Drosophila melanogaster: one gene and its partners. The protein of the gene in region 3 interacts with the protein of the main gene of each other region in a pairwise test. Each region holds a gene or a part of one and is shown on either strand. Other genes may lie near its edges.

What was found. The genes of interacting proteins can lie anywhere in the genome.
Region 1: the proteins of CG5217 (region 3) and whe interact in a two-hybrid assay, tested with the Drosophila melanogaster proteins (one large-scale study listed by BioGRID).
Region 2: the proteins of CG5217 (region 3) and CG12158 interact in a two-hybrid assay, tested with the Drosophila melanogaster proteins (one large-scale study listed by BioGRID).

Annotation. Positions count from the first base shown.
Region 1 is NC_004354.4:21,401,839-21,404,528, reverse strand, and holds whe (what else), read left to right. Parts: upstream 1-1,756; 5' UTR 1,757-1,811; coding exon 1,812-2,069; 3' UTR 2,070-2,190; downstream 2,191-2,690.
Region 2 is NT_033778.4:9,362,074-9,364,905, forward strand, and holds CG12158 (uncharacterized protein), read right to left. Parts: upstream 834-2,832; 5' UTR 817-833; coding exon 763-816; intron 709-762; coding exon 577-708; 3' UTR 501-576; downstream 1-500.
Region 3 is NT_033777.3:19,246,552-19,249,963, reverse strand, and holds CG5217 (uncharacterized protein), read left to right. Parts: upstream 1-1,827; 5' UTR 1,828-1,936; coding exon 1,937-2,174; intron 2,175-2,285; coding exon 2,286-2,695; 3' UTR 2,696-2,912; downstream 2,913-3,412.

The DNA.
Region 1 (2,690 bases), on a different chromosome or scaffold from region 3:
GGGTGTGAGTGGATTTGCGTTCGGGTTAATCAAAATGTGACCGATGGCAACGACAGCTGACCGCAAATCAAGGGAACGTCCGGGCGGCCAATTACCCCAATAATCAGAACCCGTTGGGAAATCTTTCTAATCGTCCTTGGCAGCAGTCCTGTGGACTGCTACTTGGTATAGATAACTACTAGCTAATAGCTGGCATGTGAAAAATCAGCTAATATCTATATCCGTATCCTTTAAGCTCTCATTAAATTTTTTAGCACACGAATAAGAAATTAAGTTTAGATGAACTGATGGTACAGAAAATGTAATTTATATCTGAAGAGCCATATATCAATCAAGCCATAATTGAAGCGACCGCCAATTCTTGAGGTTATAACGATTATCCTGTTCCCTCCGATTGAACTCAGAAATGAATCCAGACATCTAGAGCTTTGTATCGCATCCTGCGAGTCCCTGTCGTACACCCATGCTCTCCATAAAGCTACCACATAACGGCAGCCACATAGGAAAAGTGGAAAGTGCGGTGCTGAAGTGGAATATCCAGTCCACCGAGCTGGTTTTAGAGCGTCGAAATTGCCTTTTTATTGACAATTCACAGCACGCGCCGTTGAAACAGATCATCAAAGGTTATTACGACTACAGAAAAGGTCCTTTTGTTGCTGTTGTAAATAGATTCATAAGCAACACTACATGCCGGCAATTGCGAGACAGGAAAATAAGCGAAAAGAAATCCTGCGAGTGAAAGTGTTAACACTTAGGGTAAGCTATACACTCGCTGCAAGGATACTATATGTGGATATTCGAGAGTTGGTGCGTGCACTTCTCCGCGGGATAAAGGCAAATTTCAGTCTGAATGTCAAAGTTTGAGCCTGGCAGTACTTTGAAATATTCATAAGAACGAACACTAAGAAAAACAGGGTTAAAGTTAGCTCTCAACTACGATAAATAAAAAAATGTATGCTGGCTAAAAAAAAGAGCACGAAATAACGAAATTTAATGCAAGGTCCTGAAAATAGGCTCGTGTTGCAAAAAACCGGAAAGCAAGAAGCCGAAGCTCAATGTTGAAACATTTGTTTAGTACCAGAGATATGAATTTCCAAGTAGAACTCACACACGGTCATAAAGCAATAAAGCGGAATCATGTGCAGAAATTTTTATAAGTTAGGTGTATCATCCAAGTGGCAAATGCTCCAGGATCTTAGAAATGCGCGGAGTGTGGGATTTGTGGGGGCGAGACAAGTGCAAGTACTTTCCACTTTTTTTGGCCAAATCCCAGCAAAGAGCTTAAGGTTTCAGCTCAATTGTTTTGCCCGACTTTATTTCATTGCCATTTTTATATTTCCCCATCTTGGGTGTGCCGAGAAAAGCTTTAAGCTAAATCAAAATGCATATTTACGGAAAAGAAAAATCTATGAAACAGAAATCTTATAGTTAGATACTTTGCTAAAATAAAAAAGAAACGAAAAAACCTAAAGCTGTTCCAATAAATCTACATTTTATTCATTAGATCACCCGGAATAGCTTTAGGAAGTAAGTATAAATATAATGAATCTAAAGTTTCACAACCACGAGGTTAGTTTGTTTAATATTTTAAGATCACCAGTTGGCCAAGTATTTCCATTATGAAGGGTTTACACAACTTCACTTGGGTCATCGCTGTTTGCACAATGCTTCTGTTTGTCCATCGAAAACATAGAATTGCAAAACACCTGCAATAGATCCGATTCCGTAGAGATCTCCGAGGTATATATAGGGCTCGGGTGCAGTTGGTGAAGTCAATTGAATTTGCTAAGTCAATCATCTACAAAATCAAAATGCGTGTAATCTTCCTCATCGTTGTGCTCGCCATGGTGGCTCTGGCTGCTGTCCAAGGACGTCGTCCTCCAGGACTTCCGCAGGGAGGTCTGGGACCACTTCAGGGCTCTGGAGGACTCCAGCCGCCGCAGGGAATACCTCAGGGACCTCCCCAGGGACTCCCACAAGGACCTCCCCAAGGTGGCAACTCATCCTCCTCCGAAGACTCTTCCTCCCAGGAGAGCTCCAGCGAGTCCTCCAGTGAGGCGTCCGCCTAGAAACTCGATCGCCGAGTCCTTCATGTAAAAACATTCAAAAATCTTTAAATAAAGATATATATTCTGCTTATTTCAATATATAAAACCGTCCACCGATTCCATTAACTGCACCGATTTCCATTTCGAACTCCGAGTAATGGTTGCGTTGCTCCTGCCCGAGGAATGGAAATGGAAATGGGCCTGGGTGTGGGTGTGGGGGCGTGTCTCAAATCGGTTGCCTAAATAAGAAATCATTTTATTTGAAAAGTTTCCCTTTGGCACGCCCCCTCCAGCTGCCACCCCACTTTTTGGAAGGCAGAAGACGGCGACGTCTGCGTTTGGCGACACCAGCAACATCGGGCGAAACAAAAGCAACAAGGGCAACAGCGGTACAACAAAGCGAAGACACCAACAATAAGCTGAAGCAGCTGAAGGCGTTAGGAAGTACCCACACGACTTGGAAATACCTATTGTACGTATGAATTAAAAGCAAAAAAGAACAGCATAAAATATTACTTTCAAAGAGCGTAAAGCTACGTAACTAACAAGGCAACTAGATAATAAGCTATTAAGATAACAACTATTTGTTAAATGGCTTTAAATGATTAGGTACAAATCAAAGGATATTTCGAAATGATAATT
Region 2 (2,832 bases), on a different chromosome or scaffold from region 3:
TTGTAGGTTTCCATCGCTCCGAATAGCCCGGCATTGAAACCCCTTTGTAACCCCTTTCCTGGCTCATCAGCCGGAATGGACCTATGGCCATGTGCGCGGGGTTGAGGGGTGAGTTTCATGCTCATAATTTGTGCACTTTATTAATAAAGTTTTCCAAATTGGCTTGGCCCAGACGCAGTGCAAATACACAAAGCGAGGAGGAGAATGAATATACAAAAAAAGTGTATAACAATTGTAAAACAATATGGCTCTAAGAACTTGTGTAAAACATAACATTTTTTTTAGTCACATACATAAACAGAAACGCGGGCCTATATTTTCAACTGATAGTGGAAGTTTTCAGAGCCTTTAAGATGACAAATCTATTCAGTCATGTTATTTTCCCTTCGATTTCAATTTGCTTTAAGATTCTACCCTCGAATTTCTCTTTTCCCTTTGACCATTAATATCGAGCTTGCCTTTCTAAGCTTACGGGGTTCAAGAAACGAAGTTTTTAGTTTGCTGGGGAAAGTGTTTATTTAAGTAACTGGGAAAGTGGCGAGGAGGTGTGTGTCCCCCTCCAGAAATATCCCAGTTCTAGTTGTTCTGCCCGCTTTGTCCTTGTCCACTCTGCTGGTTGCCGTTTCCATTGCCATTTGGCGGTCTTGGCGGCTGTCCCTGCGAATGTCCATTTTGGCCCTGGGCGGCCACCTGCAGCGGCATTTGTGCCTGGAAAACCTCTGGTTAGGCCAAGTGGATGATTGAAAACCCTTCAACTCTTACCAAACCCACAGCCAGAATTAGAAGGAAGATGCTGAACAATGCGAACTGCTTCATGTTGAATTTGAAACTAGTAAACTAACAACACATGTGGTCTTTTATAGTCATACAGCACAACTGCGGTTCCCAAGAGATTATAATCCAGTGCAATTAACCATCGCAGTGAACAAAATGGCAAAATCAGTTTGTATGTTAATAATGCCATTCTGTATTATTTTGCTCGCTCGAATCTGATTTATAATGTCGTAATTGCGTGTGACCCGATCTGATCGCATATACAATATATTAAAACGACAAAATAACTCCAAAGGGGAGCCATCATTTTGCTGTTTAATTGGAAAAACAAATTTGAAAAAATTAGCCAGAATATCTCTCAAATGTCACTAAGGTCATCATATCATAGCTATAATTAACTAAAAATGTATAGATTGAGCTCTAAATTTAATAACATTTTGGACACGCCAAAACAAATACGTTTTGCGAAAAATTAACTTGGATGGTAAGAATTTATAAGTCAACATATAGCGATCTGATTCACACTCTGACTTCAAAAGCTATATTGATTATAAAATATTTGGGCGTTTTATCTTTGATAACATCAGAGCGTCATAAGCAGTTACTGAAAAATAACCACTAGGTGGAGCTCGTGTGCACTCACGGAAGCAGTCGGAGTAACAGGTATCTGATATTCGATACTTTTGACACTGTCTCTGGTTTTTTGTATCTTGTCTTGGTAAACTATTTTCCTAAAATATTCCAAGTGGCATATTAAATTTCCTTAGCCTCGCACTTTACGAAGCTTTCGAAATCAATTCATTTAGGCACTATTACATTTTCATAAAGTTTGTCTAGGCAGAGTAAACCGTCAATTATTCAAACTGGATTTCCTATTGCTGCTCGGTCTTTTAATTTGAGCGTATGCTCAAACAATCCAACACACCAGCCACCCATATGCCACCATTCTTTGACTGACACTACACGTTTTGAAAGAGATTCGCACACCACCCACCATCCACCTGCCATCCAACTGCCACCGCCCATTCACTTGCCCCTCGCCATCACCTTGGGGGCATGGTCGGGCAAAGCAATTTCGCTCGGCATTTTCGAGCGTTGAGTGGCAAAATGTCTTCGGTTTCAGCTTGAGATTAAATTCTGCCGAACGTTGGCCAAACAGAAACAAGACTTTCTAGTTTACACAACAACGATGGGTCCCGCCCGCCGATTCACCTGTCACCACCTATGGGCACATCGATGTTTGCAGACTGAAGGAAGTGCATATAGTTGAATTATTTAGTTACAATTGATACAAGTATAGGTAATTTCTAATGTTAAGTTGGGAGGCATTCTTGAAATTAATCTTCTAAGAACTCTATTACAATAATTTTGAAAAATTAAAATAAACTATAAGAAACATACATATGCGTATGATAGTAACAACAATGCAAGCAGTTGCAGAAATAATTTTTAAAAATATTATAAACGACTTTGTGCAGATTTCTTACTGTGTACTTGTGTGGGTTTTTTTCGGTTAATAAATGTCCCTGCCACAGCGAAATATGAATATTGAATATGCCCATAGTCGCGAACTGAGCGGCTGAATAAACCGCAAGCGAGTGGCGAACCCATAACGCCTTATAACCATTTCGGCACTTTTCAGGACGACGGAGGAATAGCCAAGGATTTGGATGGCCATATGGGGGAAGGAGGGCGGTAAATTCGGGTAGCAAGACGACACCAGCATACATTGTGGATGAGCACTAATGAAGTCTCAGCCCTCGTCCTTTACAGTTGGCTGCCTCATTGTTTGACTTTGACTTTGCCACTACCTTTCACTACCAACGGCCCCGCCCACTTTTCCACTTTGCACACTCACAATTGTTTGCACAGTCACTGCTTTGTCCTTTGACCCCCCCGCGCAAAGCACTCCGCCTCTGCCTCTGGCCAGCCTATTTATTTATGTTTATAATAGGATTTTTATCAAAACTTTTCCCCGAATTAATTTTGTAATGAGTATTTAAAAGACACTCGCATTTGGACAGGACACACACACACAAAGAGACCCGCAGCGCGGCA
Region 3 (3,412 bases):
GTCGTTGTGGTTGCCATAGCTGTTGCTGTTGCATGTAGCATGTTGTTGTTGCTTTCGCTTGTGCTGCCGACAACAGCAACAGCAGCAGGGCAAACAAGTTGAATGGCATCCAGAGATGGGCAGGGAAAGGGATTGTGTACTGCCAACAGCAGTTTGATTGTTATTGCCAATGAATGAATGCACTTGCTCCGAGGATTTGTCTGCCAGACGACCAACTTATGAGTTTCCATCTACAACTCCGGTCCAAGAGATGCGGCTCCTGCTCCAGCTTCGTTTGCCCCGAGGGTTGTGGCAACACATTTTGCGGTCTGCAGTTGCAGCTTCTGCTGTTTCTGCCGCTGCTGATGCCATTGTTCCCACTGCCCCACCGCAACACTGCACCACAGTTGGATCCCTGCGCCGCCACCAACTCCCATCCAGCGCGATGGTGTTGCTCCTGCGTAAGCCTGCAGGGGGTGTTTATGCTGTTTGTTGTTTGTTATTTGCCGTTTCGCAACTGTGTGTTGGCAATGAATTGGCTGCAAACAACATTTCCGTTTTGGCCATTATATGGCGCCCACTCTACAAATGGGCGAGCATAATAGCCGGAGGGGGAGGTGGTGCAGTTGGGGTTAGCTCCCCGTCGCCGCTGACATTTTCACACTTTTCAGCGGAGTGGGTGAGCAGCTGTTGGCGGCGGGCAAAAGGATTGCCTTGCATTATCCTTGTTCATTTCCCTTATACTTTTATTACTGATGATTTATTGATGTCCCTTTGTTGTTGGCGGCGTGGGGTTTTTTCATTAACTTTTTATCAAAGATCGGGGGTTGGACATAAATAAATGAAGGACACGAGCAATCACTTCAAGGGTTATGAAAACTGCCAAATTAAAGGGCAAACATATGAAGTATCTACTACCGTTAAACAAGATACATGTATAATGTTTTAAACGTTGTTTTCATTCACCATTCGTTGGTCTTCTTCTGATGCACGGTATTGCACTCTTATAGTAAGTAATTGATGAATTTTAATGGCTTTCAAATTGGTACGATAATGTATATCTGTTTTTCAGAATTTCAACACCTTCGCCAGACAATAGCATGCTGCAAGTGCCGCAGCAATTGTCCATTGTTTCGGGTATCCTGGCCAACCAACCGGCAATACATAACTACATAAATTAACGGACCTCGATTCCAGGACCAGGACCACGGAAAGGGATCGGGCCAGAGACGTAGGGATGGCGCAGTGTCGACAGCAGGAATCGCCACCAGCTCTTCAATTGATTTTGCGAAAGCACTTTGTTGGTGGGCCCCATCTCAGAAACGGAACACTGCAGCACTAACTGGACAGCGGACGGCGGACAACGGACGACGGACTTCGAAGTTCGAACATTTGAGACAATGGGGCAGCAGCAGCAGTAGCATAACAAGGGGTATTGTGTGCACGTATTGAATGAATTGCCTTTGGCTTTCATTTCAGCTCTTTTTTCTGGGGCTGCAGGCTTCAGTCCAGTTTGGCTTTGTCCTGGCCGGGAAACAGTTCGATTGCGGGAGAAAATGAAATCAAAGTCGTATCAATTTGAAACCTGTTTCGATGTCGTTGTTAACACATGTTAACCAAACGTAGCCAAATTGCCAAGGAAAATGCAAAAAAACGTGGCAGCAGAAATCGAAATTGATATTGTTTTTATCTACATGAGTTGTTAAAATTACAATATATATGTAAAGTACCAATCTCAAACTTATAAGGCTGTAAAATCCTTTTTAAACTCACTTAACTGAATTCTACTTTTCATAAAAGGTGACAAGAACTAGTTGACTCTGGATTTTCTGACACTTTGCATCTGGTGTTCAATTCAACAACACCAGTCACATTAATCTTATATTTCGTACAAAACCGAGCCATATTTTATTGTAAATAAAATTCGATAAAATTTCGGTGGACATATTGGACGAAGATGTCCAGTCTGCAAGATATTCCGCTTGCCGACCCCGAGGGCCTGTCTGTGGAAGGTCCCGAGGTGGCCCCCGCTCCAAAGTCCAATTCCTTGAAGCGCTTCTTTAAGATCAGCAAGAAGCCAATGATGCGCGACCAAGTGGAGGATGACGACGAGACATCCTCCCAGGACAACAAGGACCTGGGAAAGTCAAACACTATAAGTCGCTTCTTTACCCGGATGAAGGGAGCCAATAAGGGTAAGCTCTTTTGACTGGTATTAAATATGATTTGTTGAAAAAAAAATGATTGCCTAATGACTTACAATTAAAAGGAGCTCTTCTTGAATAATCATAAACCCCACTTGCCAGATGTTCAAGATCCTTCGAGCTCGGTGGTCGAACCCGTGGAGCAGGATAAGCCGTTGCCGAATGCAAAGCCCACGATTAAGACATCCATTTCATCCTACTGGAAGATACTGTTCAACCGGCAGAAGAGCCAGCGCCAAAACGCAGCTTTAGGGCAGACCAATGCCAATAAAGAGGATAACGAGTCTGAAGAAGTCCATGAACTGCAACCAGTAAGCCAAGATCCCGATACCGATCCTCAGCCGACAGTCAAGGATGAGCACGATGAAATGGAACGTGGCACAGATCCGGAGCCACCCAACCCGAAGCCCAACAAAAGTGTTGCCAGCAAGGCATCCGGTCAGGAGATTGTCAGTGCCTTAGAGGGCGGCCAGCTGTCTACCAATGATCACGAGAATGCGGCTTCCATTTAGCCGTCTTCAACTAACACTAATCAAACCCGATGTCTAGTATCTCTACCGATCTCGAGGCAAAGGTTTAGAAATCAGTTAGGGAGCTGATTCAACCTTACACAATATATACTCTTCAAACACATCCCTGCTAACTGACATACATACAAGAACAAACATTTTCGCTTTGATTCCACAAATGATAATTCCGAGCTCACGAAATAAACACATACAAGACCCCAGTATGTTGTCATGTCATCCTTTGTGGTAAATCCATCCGTTTTTGTTCGTCTAAGGGGTCACAGAGTTCAGTTAAATCGGTTGTTAAAACGTCTTCACTGGGGGGTTTTGATTACCTAAACGAGTTTCATGTTTTGCGTTGCAAACAGTGGGGTTAAAAGGTGCCGCATGAGCCAGACAAGCCCGAGAATTATTTGAGGTTTTCACTTTCGAGGGAAGCCCTAAAGATGAGCCACCCCCAAAAGTTGGCTAACTAAATCACGTAATGAGTATTTAATTGTTGGAAGGTGTGCTATTAAGGAATAAGGGTGCAGAAAGTTTTATTTTAAACTTTATTTCAGTATCAGTATACCAGTGCAAATTTCTTGGCTCAGTTCCAAAGAGGTAGATATAGATATATCTCAAGAATGAGTAGTTTTCTTATCTCGTGTCAGTACTTTGGAAAATCTGAAACACACCAGTTGCATATCAGGATAAACAGCTGGGCGATGTTTACCAACA